Linked DNA regions of Tamandua tetradactyla. The main gene of each other region encodes a partner of the protein of the gene in region 3 in a complex. Links are inferred from orthologs where the notes say so. Each region holds a gene or a part of one and is shown on either strand. Other genes may lie near its edges. The genes, in order: E2F1, LIN52 and TFDP1.

The links.
Region 1: the proteins of TFDP1 (region 3) and E2F1 are in contact, whole or in part, in a crystal structure (PDB 2AZE), measured with the Homo sapiens proteins. The link is inferred for Tamandua tetradactyla from reciprocal best matches to the Homo sapiens genes TFDP1 and E2F1. Residues at the interface, in NP_009042.1 of Homo sapiens: Glu201, Cys202, Leu205, Glu206, Glu208, Arg209, Arg212, Leu213, Arg215, Ile216, Lys219, Gln220, Gln222, Leu223, Leu226, Ile227, Gln229, Gln230, Phe233, Lys234, Leu236, Val237, Arg239, Asn240, Arg241, Glu244, Pro251, Ser255, Val256, Ile257; in NP_005216.1 of Homo sapiens: Arg202, Leu203, Leu206, Thr207, Asp209, Leu210, Leu213, Gln214, Ser216, Glu217, Leu220, Asp221, Leu223, Met224, Ile226, Cys227, Thr228, Gln230, Leu231, Leu234, Asp239, Ser240, Gln241, Arg242, Leu243, Ala244, Tyr245, Val246, Thr247, Cys248.
Region 2: TFDP1 (region 3) and LIN52 share a complex: the UniProt entries of both Homo sapiens proteins name them as parts of the DREAM complex. The link is inferred for Tamandua tetradactyla from reciprocal best matches to the Homo sapiens genes TFDP1 and LIN52.

What each region holds. Positions count from the first base shown.
Region 1 is NC_135327.1:19,292,317-19,296,059, reverse strand, and holds the start of E2F1 (transcription factor E2F1), read right to left. Parts: upstream 2,266-3,743; 5' UTR 2,251-2,265; coding exon 1,990-2,250; intron 1-1,989. UniProt on the Homo sapiens protein: Transcription activator that binds DNA cooperatively with DP proteins through the E2 recognition site, 5'-TTTC[CG]CGC-3' found in the promoter region of a number of genes whose products are involved in cell cycle regulation or in DNA replication.
Region 2 is NC_135338.1:33,069,807-33,073,549, reverse strand, and holds the start of LIN52 (protein lin-52 homolog), read right to left. Parts: upstream 2,288-3,743; 5' UTR 1,948-2,287; coding exon 1,917-1,947; intron 1-1,916. Other genes in the region: ALDH6A1 (methylmalonate-semialdehyde/malonate-semialdehyde dehydrogenase [acylating], mitochondrial), read left to right, coding at 2,502-2,549.
Region 3 is NC_135330.1:184,327,852-184,331,594, reverse strand, and holds the start of TFDP1 (transcription factor Dp-1), read right to left. Parts: upstream 2,791-3,743; 5' UTR 2,671-2,790; intron 2,661-2,670; exon of another isoform or gene 2,546-2,660; intron 2,477-2,545; exon of another isoform or gene 2,454-2,476; intron 2,114-2,453; exon of another isoform or gene 1,985-2,113; intron 1,863-1,984; exon of another isoform or gene 1,841-1,862; intron 1,399-1,840; exon of another isoform or gene 1,262-1,398; intron 509-1,261; 5' UTR 445-508; coding exon 433-444; intron 1-432. UniProt on the Homo sapiens protein: Can stimulate E2F-dependent transcription.

The DNA.
Region 1 (3,743 bases), on a different chromosome or scaffold from region 3:
ACCCACAGCTGCAAGAGTTGGGGGTGCTGGAGAGCAAAGGCTGGGCCGATGTTTCTAAACTTCAGCTCCAGAATGATTCCAGCCCCTCCCCCTCACACACTCCAGGAGAAAAATGCTCACTGGCCCTTAGGCACTGTGGACAGGGTCTCCTCATTTGACCCCGTGCTTAGCTGTCCTCACTAACTCACCAGCTGCAGAATGAATGCTGCTGGTGGCATCCAGCCCCTAGCCCATCCCCCCTGCAGGCTCTGCCACTGTCCCTGCAGCCCTGGGCCTGTTAAGATCTTCTCAGTCAGCAAGATGGAAGTTACCTGCCCAGGCCCCAAGCTGGTACCCTCGGGGCCAGGCCACTGGGAGTATAGGAAGCATATGTACCCTCCCTGGTACACTATCAACCCACTCACTCATCAGAAGGAAGGGCCCCTAAAATCAACCTGGGTTTCATTCAACTTCCAACAGCATCTCCAGGAGGCGAGGCATCCCGGCAGCTAACTGCTCAGGAAATCTGGACTGCTGCTGAATTCATCAGTCTGGTCCCACCACTAGCAAGCTAAGTAACTGAGGAAGTTCTAAAATCTGAGGCCTCAGCGTCCCCCTCTGTAAAAGGGTTAAATGAGTTAATTTGGATAAAGTGCTTGGCGCAGAGCCTGCATACAAAATACTCTCCCAACAACGGTGGCTGCTATTGTTATTATTATTAGCATCTTGGTGATTCCGGAAGGAAGGCAGCACTGGGCATGGGGCCAAGGGGGCCAGGGGAGGCTCCTGGGATGCCTCTGGGACCAGCTGCCACCCGCGCCTCCATCAGCGGTTGGGTGGTTTCCACCTCGTCCTGGGCCCTGCCTCGCCCCTCCCACTTGTTCCAAGCCCCCGTGAGACCCCATCCTTCCTGGCCAGCCCCTGCCTGCCCGTTTGTGCCCCACCTTCACCCACAGGCTGTGCCAGTCAAACTGGTCTCCACACCCTGTCCTGTGGCCCACAGGTCCAAGCTCCGGGGCTCCTCTCCTTTCTCCGGCTATAATCCAGCCACGTCTGGGCCCCCCCAGTCTGAAATGCTCTTGCGCTTCTCGTTGCTCAGGAAAGACTCTATCAGGGCATTTCTCTGGGACATTTTCTCTCTTCTGGCACTAGGGATCTTGCCTCCAGCTCAGAGGCCCAACCCACCCCATCCTTCCACAGGGGCCCAAGGGTCTGCCTGCCTGATTAATGAGGTTCCATGGCAACCAGGGCCTGGGAGGGTGGAGGGGAGCAGATGGAAGGACAGGCAGAGGGAGGGGATCAGCAGCTGGCCCAGCCATCCCGCCCCTGCAGAGAAGGCCTCCCAATCAGGCAGCCTGTCCCCAGGGGCCTGGAGGGCCAGGCCTGCACCTGGCAGATCATCATCAAGGCAGGAAGGTGAGTCTTCTCAATGCTCCCCAAAAGCCCAACCCCAGGACGACCCACCCACCCTCCTCCGCAGCTAGCCATGCTCACTCCCCAACCTCAAATCCTGGTGTGAAGCCAGCAGGCCTCAATTCAAATTCCAGCCTCACCACTTGCCAGTTGTGTGATGGGGATAAGTCACTTCCCCTCTCTGAGCCTCAGTTCCTCCTCCGTCAGATGGGCACAGTGACAACACCGAGCTCGCAGCGTGGTTGTGGGTTTTAGATGGCTTGAAGTCCACCAAAGGCTCAACCAAAGGCCTGGCATGCAGTAAGCGCCAGCTGCATACACGTGGGCCACTATTATCACCAAGTCTACCCTCAAGTGGCTCCGATTAGGATGGTGAAGCCCACAGCACCGAGTGGCAAACAGGGACTGGCCCGAGGTCACCCAGCACCCCGGGGCGGGGCCCGGAGGCTCAACCCAGGCTCTGCACCGCCCAGTCCGAGGGCTTCAGTCCACCCCTCCCCTCGCCCCCCGCTGCCTCCGGGCCAAACACTGCGCCCCGCCCGGGTCGGCGCGGGGGTACAGGCTGCGCACTTGGCCCAGTGGCCCTGGTGTCCGTACCGGCGGGCGGCCGAGCGCAGGGCGCGGCGCGCTGGGTGTGGGCCGGAGCGCCTGAGGCGTGGCGAAGAGCAGCAGGTCGGCGTCGCTTGAGCCCGCGGCGGGCGCGGAGGGGCCGGCAGGGGCCGGCGGGGCGCTGGCGTCCTGCGCTGCAGAGATGATGACGATCTGCGAGGAGTCGAGCAGCCGCAGCGCGCCCGCCCCGAGGAGGGCCTCCAGCGCCGGCGCGCATGGGCCGCCCGCGGGGGCCCCGGCCACGGCCATGGCGCTCACGGCCCGCGCGGCCCGGGTGGCAAGCGGCGGCGGCGGCGCGGGCCCATGGTGGCCGGCCGCGGCGAGGGCTCGATCCCGCTCCGGATCCCACTCCGCCCGGGGCCGCCGCTGCCTGCAAAGTCCCGGCCACTTTTACGCGCCAAATCCTTTTTGCCGCGAAAGAGCCACGAGCCGCCTAGCGCCCTCGCCATTGGCTTCCCGGGTTATGACGAAGACGGCGGCGGCGGCGCCCACTGGTTGCAGCGCGCCGGGCCGGCGGCGACGGGCTGCACGGGGCGGCGGCGCGGGGCGGTGCAGCCAATCGCGGTCCGGGGCGCGCGCAGGCTTTGTCGGGGCGGTGCCCGGCGCGTTCACACTCCCCGCCCCCAACCCGGACGGCCCCTGCTCAAGGCGTGGTGGCCCCACCCCCGCCCCACGCGCTCGGTCCTGCTGACCATGGTGTAGAGCTTCCATTCTGCTGCTATCACGTCTCCGTCTGCAGCCCCATAGCACATGACCCCCAGACCTGCAGCCCACACTCCCAACCTGCAGCCCTCATACCTCAGCCCAGATTTCCAGAAACTTCCTCCTCCTCCTTTCTGAATTCTCAGGCCCACCTCCAAAGCCCCAGACATATTTCCCATCCTCAACTTGCCCCACCTATCCACCTATGCTGTTTACTCTCAAGTCCTACGCTCCTCCCAATCCCGTCAGTCTTACCCAGTCAGAGCCCAAACCGAGGGGGCTGCCAGGAAACCGGGAAGAACTCGATATGGACCTGGCGCTTTCCTGCAGCCGCATCTTAGCTGGAATCCCTTCAATAGCCAATGCACAAGCTTCTACCTGAACTCATTCATTCATTCGCTCATTCAACAATCGTTTTGAGAGCCTGCCTTGTGCTCCATCCTTATTTAAGACCTTGACTACTGGCCCTAAGGATCTCACGGTCTAGTGAAAGGATGAGAAGGAAGAGGTGGCAAATGTTTACAGCATGATGAGGAATTTCCGCCATTAATGTGACCCCATGTTAGGACCTAACCAAAGGAAGGAGGTGGGGATACTGAGCACAAAAAATGCATTTAATCCGGAAGCCCTGGGACATCTCCACCAGCCATTTCTCCTTGCTCATATCAGTCCATTTGACCAGTATTGTCCTCAACACTGTGCCAGGCCTTGTGTCAACACTGGGGACAGAAATGTGAAAGATTTGATAACTTGTACAAATCTAGTGCTGTTTGGTGTGGGTGATCTACAAGAAAAAAAAGTAACTAAGGCACAAACGAAAATCAAATCCCCTGGTCCAGTCTAAATACCACTTCTTCAGGGAGCCCACCAGAGTCGGAGTTACTCACTTCCTCCATTGCCGGTTGCTGCCTCTCTGTTCAGGCACTGATCACGCTTCTTGGTTTCTCCATCTGCCTCCCCTATCAGACTAAGATCTCCAACAGCGCCCCCCTCCGCACGCTGGCCTGGCTCAGAACAGGCACAGAGGAGGGTTATGAAAG
Region 2 (3,743 bases), on a different chromosome or scaffold from region 3:
CAAAGAGTGGGTGAAGGATCAAAGGAGAAGGAAGAATTGTATCAAAGAAGAGAGGATTTAACAAATGAGTATAACTACTGAACCATTATACTGATATTCTTTTTAGTCTCCAGTGTCTTAGGGCAGCTAGAAGGAAATATCTGAAATGGTGGAACCATAATCCATACCAGACTTTTAAATTTGTTCCAAAACTACTTGTTAAAATGTACTTTGAAATGTATCAATTTTTTGCATGTATATTTCACAATAAAAATGTTTTTAAAAATGAATGCAGGAGGAATGCCCACTATTCAGCATGGAGGCAGAGGTCAATAAGCTGGAACTGATGACCATGGATCCTTAAAGGAAATCCTTCTCATCAGAAAACTGTATATAGATACAAAAAAAAATTGCTAGGTATAACCCAGGATTTGCAGATGACCACATGTTAAGAACATCTATGTTTCAACAACTGCCAGCTTTTCAGAATTACAGAAAGCTGACTCTGATCTTGATTACAATCAATACAGGCTGGAATATGAAATCAAGACCAATCATCCTGATTCACTAGGTGAGAAAAATCCAATTATTCTCTTAAAGGAATTGTCAGCAATAAAGTTTTGATTTCGGACTTTACATGCACGCTTTAAACCAGCTGCTGATAAGCAGAAAGAGATGAAGAGCTGCATTTTTGCTACTTTGAATAAGACTAAGACCTTATGAATAAAGACTATGACAGGAAATACAAAAGCAAACAAACCTGGAGCTGTTATCACTGACTGAAGAACAGGAAAGTGTGGCAGAGTAATTAAAATCTCATATACCAGACTTGTGAAGAAATGGACTTGCAAAAGGGAACTCTAATAAAGGAAAGATAAATCAGCACTTGTTGACTAGAAGTTAGGGTGTGCTGGTGAGGGAGAAAGTTTGTCTTGGGTGACTGGATAATAATATATTTCACAAAAGAGGAGAATAAAAGAAGGCAATCATTACCTGAATAAAATTCAGACAAAAGGACTGAACAGGAATAGAGGGATTTAAAAAATAAATTGATGCAAGACCCCAACTCTCTAAAAGAAAACAAAGTACAAAAGCATATGGGGGGCGGGCCACGGTGGCTCAGCAGGCAAGAATGCTCACCTCCCATGCCAGAGGACCCGGGTTCAGTTCCCGGTGCCTGCCCATGTAAAATAAAATAAAATAAAATAAAATAAAATAAAAAGCATATGGGTATACCAAAACCACCCAATTGCTTAGGCAACTTAGGCAACATATAAGCAGAAATTTATTAAGTTACTCAGCCTGAGGAAACAACAAAACAAAAGCAAGAGATGATGAGACGCGTGCAAGATTATACTAAAAAGCTCAATTCTCATTTTCCTCAGGACTCTCATGGTTAGGGCCCGAGGTCCCTCGCTTTACTTTGCAGGCAGGGCAACCGTCCCAAACAGAGACGATGGGAGACAATCACGTTTCTCTTGTGGCTCAATCCCAGGATGAGATCAACCACTAATCCCAGCAAGGGCTTGACAGAATCTTTCAGGATGTTCAATGAGAAGAGAACTGACCCTTCAAAAGAGCGCCTGAGAAAGACAACTACAGTAAGGCACCTCCTTTCCTTTCCTCCAGCAGCATCTCCTCCTAGGCCCTCAGCCTTTCTCAAACAGGGGTAAAGGATGAAGCGATACCCGTCCTTTTGCCCGAAATAGGTCCCTCGCAGATGCCCTACTCCACCGTTTGGTGTACAGCGGGGAAACTGGCACCTCTGGAGCCGCTGTGGAGAACCCGCGAGCTGAAAAAGGAGACGCATCCCAAGGAAAGGAGTGAAAGGGAAAGGAGAGAGTTCCAAGAAAGAAGTGTAAGCTTGAGGGTCAGACGGAAAACGGAAGCTTCCTAGTAAAGGGGGTTGCAGGCGAAAGATCTAAGCCGGCTCTTACCGTCAGTGGGAGACGCCATCTTCCAACCCATGTCACGTGACGTGGCCAACCGTCGGCGGGAAAGCGAGGATCATGAGCCACGCCCCCAAAGGGAAACCCTATCCCCAACTCGCAGCCCGGACTCGTTTCCCCGCCTCCTAGGGCAATCTTTGATTAGCCCCGCCCACCACTTGCTAGCCACGTCCCTCATGCAAAATTCTTGGCGGATCTTATTTACTTTCCTCAGTGATGGGGCGGGGCCGCAGCTGTGCGTATGACCAATCAGAGTTCCGGGTTAGGGGGGCGTCTTCCCCGTGTTCTCGCTATAGACTACTCCTGTCAGGGGCGTCTTCCTTATCCCTGCCAATTGAAGTTGCTGAGGCGGGCTGGGGGCGAGTTCTTCCACTATTGACCAATCGTGTATCCCCAGGCCTGGTATTTAGGGGTGGAGTCAGAGTTCAGGGTGCGTGATTGGCTAGGAGAAATGGCCCTCTCTGCCAATGAAGAGGTCCTGCAGATGGAGGGGCGGGGTTTGGCCCCGGTGGCACTTCTGAGGATCTGCACCAGCAGCAGAGGAGCAAGGAGACGAAGAAGAGGCCTAGAGCCATGGCGGTGGTGGCTGCTGCGGCGGCATTCCGGGCCCGTATCCTGCAGGTGAGTGAGGGACGAAAGATCGCGAGTCCAGGAATTGGATCTTTTCCGTCCACTCTCTCAACCGACCTCGGACGGGCAGACTTATTGGCCCAGCTTCTTGGCCGAGTCTCGTGTTCTCACCTGACCTGTGCGGCCGTGTTCCCCCACCCCCACGCCTCGTCCCAGCTCCAGTCCTGGGCCATCACCCCTAGTTCCCCGCCCTTCTACTCCTGATCCTCCCGTTTTCTGGCTTCGGCCCACTCTGCTCTTCCACCTCTACCCCTTCCTTACCTTCACCTTCTTGCCCTTACTTCTCTAGTTCTCCTCACCGTCTTTCCCTTCCACCTTCGCGCCTGCCACCTCTCCCAAGAACCTTTAGAGCTCTTTCTCCTGCTCCCTTTCCTTCATCGTACCTATCCGAGGTAAGAGGGGAGCTGACACGCGAGGGGCGATGGTCACTGAATGAACGTTTTTTAAATTAAATTTTTTTTTATTAGAGAAGTTGTGGGTTTACAGAATAATAATGCATAAAGTACAGGATTTCTATACACCACCTCACCATCAACAGTTGCATTGGTGTGAAAAGTTCGTTACAATTGATGATAACACTTTTTACTGAATGAACTTTGGATATCCTTCTAGAAGTGTCCACTAGGTTTTCACCAAAACCAGCCTTGCTAAGCGTCCCAGCTGTGGCTCTTTGTGTATTCCACAGGCCTTTTCTTGCCAAGGCTTTCACTGAAACTTTCTCTCAGGGAAGTTACACTTTTCACGTTGGAGGTAAATAAGGGCCCGTAGTTATGCTATCAGTATGTTGCATGTTCACTCAAGGGTCTAAACATCTCTAAAGCAATGTGATAGAGGGAGCCAGGGAAGACAAGAATTGTGAGTTCCTGTCCCAAAGTCAGCTCTTGGAGTACCAACATACCCTCAACTTCACCCATGGGAAAGTGGATCCTCTGAAGATAAGCCTAAGGAGAAGTAGTGAAGCTACAAGTGCTGCAAGCCCGAGTCTTATGGTGGCCAGCTCTATCCGAAGCCTTTCCCCTGTTTTTCAAAGCCTAGTGAGCATGCATATTAAGGACTTAGAATATAAGACAAGATTTACTGTAGGCAAAATTCTCAAATCTGCAAGAAACAGCATTACCTCTCTTGTTCATTCACCCAGCCTGGGAACTTCCTCCATATTGCTGGACTTTTAAATAATAATAGTAT
Region 3 (3,743 bases):
GAGCCAGCAACTACTGAGCTCCCACGACATAACTATTTTGTATTCTCCATCTCGTTTAATTTTGTATTCCCCCTCTCTATTTAATTAAGGAATGCCTTAATAAATATATTCAAAATTATAAATTTAATGCAGTCTGAAAAGATTAAGAAAAAGTGAAATTAATATCATTTAAGCACCACATAATATTTATCATCAGGCATTCATGATTACAAAAAACACAAAGGGAGAAGTCATACATCTTCACGTAGGCTACTAGATTTCTTTGTTCTTTTTCACCTTTATCTTGTTTCATCTGCTTTAAAAGTTTAAAAACAAACACTATTGTAGTTTATGTGCTGTCACTCTGCAAAAAAGTGGGAAAACTACAAAGAATTTAGTACTTCCTTACTTCTCACTATTAAAGCTAGGTAAGTATTTATAACATGTACTTACATCTTTTGCCATGTTACCAGATCCGTGAAATCAATTCTCTAAGTGTTCGCCCTCCAGAGAAGAAACAATGATTTTTCTGGCAAACAAAAAAAGAAAGAAAGAAAGAAGGAAAAACAAGAAATGAATAAGAATAAAAAAGAAGTCAGTAAATAAAATATCACATCTTACAGAGACATTTTCCCCACCACCACTTCAACTGTGCTTCCAGGAAACAAGAACCTCCTTTCCTAATTGCATACCCTTACTCAATCCTGAAAATAGAACAGTCAAAACTCATACTTACGACTTTAAAAGTCATTTCAGCAACTGAAAACATACTTTAAATTGACAATCCCATATACAACCAGGATGCAGAAACTCCATTATCCAAAATCATTGCCACTGTACCATAACTTTTTCCCAAGATCACCCAAAGAAGCAATGGGTAAAAACCCCTGAACACACATGCCTGGATTACCTTCACATTTCTAAAGCATTCACCTATAACATTAATTATACCAGTAGGTACATTCATCTCACATATCTCTACCCTTCGCCAACCGAGGCACACACACATATGCGCAAACCTAAGCTGCCACATATTCACCCAACAGGAATATAACTCCCTTTTATGTCCCTGCACAAAGACAAGTACGCAGGGAAATCCATCCCAAAAGAACTCTTGAGAGGGTCTTCTCTCCCACCGTGGTCAGTCTCCAAGTGGCTGATTCAAGCCTGGTTAGACTGTTAACTCTGACAGGTGGGCTTCCAGAGGCACCTTAGCCAGTCCCAACCGCTCGAAGCCCCCCACCCTCAACCTCCACGCCCCCAGCCCGCCCGGGTCCCTGACCTGTCACTAGGCCTCAGGAGCCACCTCCACCGAGAGGAGCCTCCCTTCCCCCGCCCGCCACCGGAACCGGCAGTCCTCGGCCCGGAGCTCCCGAAAGGACCAGGTCGGTGGAAGGGTCAGCCCCTCCCCGTCCCCTCCCGAAGGCTCTCGCTGCAGGCCGGAGCGGATCCGGCCTCCCGGGCCCGAGCGCGGACGGCGCGCTCGGGCCCGGGACGGATCCGGCTGCAGTTGCAACCCAGCCGCCCGCCACCACCCGCGCCTGGTGCACCTCCCGGCAACAGGCGCCCCCCGACCCCCTCCCCGTTGGCCCCGCGTCCCCGGGCGGGCGAGGGGCGCGCGACGATGCTTATCCGGGGCCTGAGGGCCTAGCTCCGGCCCTGCCGCCCCGCCTGCCCCAACCCGGGGACTCCCCGCGGCTGATCCGATCCCCCACCGTGCCCTCCCAGGCAACGAGCCGAGTCCCCCAACAGCCCCACCACCCGCTCGCCTCGGCCGGGCCCTCTCCCGCCCAATCGCGTCCTACTCCCCACCCGCACCCCCTCTCTTCCATTCCACATCCTACAGCCGAGGTCAAGTCACCTGGAGAGCAGCTTCCTCCCCCGGCCGCCCACCCCCCCACCCAGCGAACGGCGGCGGCGAGCCCCGCAGCCCACCACCAACTGCAGCGGCTACAATGAGGCGCGGCGCGGCGGCGTGGGGGGTGCGGGGTGGGGGAAGGTTTACCGACTGCACATGTGCGGCGCACACAGAGCACCAGGAAAGAGCCCCAAGGAGACACCGAGCCTTGCGCGCGGCGCCCACACGCAGGCGAGGCGGGGGCAGGGCCGAGGGGCCGGCCCGCCGGGGACCAGTCCGGCCCGGGCTGTCCCCTCGCCGCTGTGGTCCCGCCCCCCGCGCCCGGCGGCCGGCCCCGACCCAAGCCCGCCCCACAACCGCCTCTCGGGCCGGGCGCCCGCGGACCACCCGGTGCCCCCTCCCTCCAGGACCAGCTGCTCGCCCTGCCCTCCGCCCCATCCCCCAGCTCCATCCTCCCGCGACTCAGGCGTCTCAACACCCAACACCCCCCTTCTCCATCCTCTCCGGGTTCCCGCCCCAGGGCATCCTCTTCCCTCCCCTCCGGCAGCCCCGGCCGCCCGCGGCCCGCGCGCACCCGCCCTTCGCCTGCAGCGTGGGGGTGGCCGGCGCCCCGCACCTGGCTCGCCCGGTCCACGCTCGCGCGCGGGGCTGGGGGCGGAGATGCAGGACGCGGAGGCTGAGGGCCCGCCACCCGGGTCCCGCACTCACGCGAGGACGGCGGGGGTAGGGAGTCCCGGCCGCCCTGGCCAGACCACCCTGCGCCCTCACTCTCTTCCCGCTCGTCGCCGCGACCCCGGGAGCGGTGGCACCGGGGGAAAAAAATTGAAACTTACACTTTGTACCGGGAGCGTCGAGCCGGCGTGACGTGCCGGGAGCGCGGTGACGTGCGGCCACGAGCGGCCCCATAGAGACTGGCCCAAAGTGTCAGTTTCACCCCCGCGCGCTCCGCCTCGGGGAGCGTGGCGCGCCTGCGCGCCGTTTTCGCGCCTTTGGCTCCCTCCCTCCCTCCCTGCCTCCTCCCGCCTGTTCTGCTCCGCCCCCGCCTGGCGCCGGGAGAGGGGCTCTTGTGGATGTTTCTGTGTGTGTGTGTGTGTGGTGTATCTGTGTTTGTGTGTGTGTGTGTGTGTGTGTGTCCGAGAGTGTGTGCGGAGGAGAGAAGGAAAGAGGAGGCCGGGCGACGAGCGTGTGTGGCAGCGGGTGGGCGCGCGGCGCGGAAGCTCCTTCCTCCCGCGGCGTGAGCTCCTGGCCCGGCACCGCGCGTTCGGCACCGCGGCCTCCTGGAGGCGAGGAATCTTCAGACACCCAGCCACCGCACGGCTCCACGCCCACGACCACCCTCCACCCAGCTCCTACACAATTCCATGCATCCTCGATGCCCACCGGGGAGGCATCCCGGAAGTGGGTTCCGAAGGGAAAACCAGGCAGCCCAGTTTCATCCTCTGACTGCCGGAGCGACCTCATCGCCGGTGGGGCTTGTTGAACCCTTATCTCTGAAGACGTAGTCACAACTTCGACCTCACAGCTACTAAGACCAGTGGGTGGATTCAGCCATAAGGGGGTGAAGAAACACAACAGAGGGTTGACTGGTGCATCTTGAGTAGAGTCGGAAGTTCAGTTCTGGATTAGGCAGCAGTGTCCAAGCCCTCCCCTCCCTACCTCGCCGCCTCGTAAGTGTGATGCATAATTAACGTTTGCAAAGCACTTTGAGGTGCACAGACCAAAGGCGCACCGTGTGCAACGTGTTATTACATTACACCCCACACACACCACTTAGCATGGTTTCACAATTTAGCCACTTTTATGCTGATTACACCCACTTCTGTTTCTTTAGTAATGCACAGATCCCTTAAATCTCTGTTCACTTGTCTTAAACTATTAGCAAGCTGATTAACATTTCTTCTTTTAA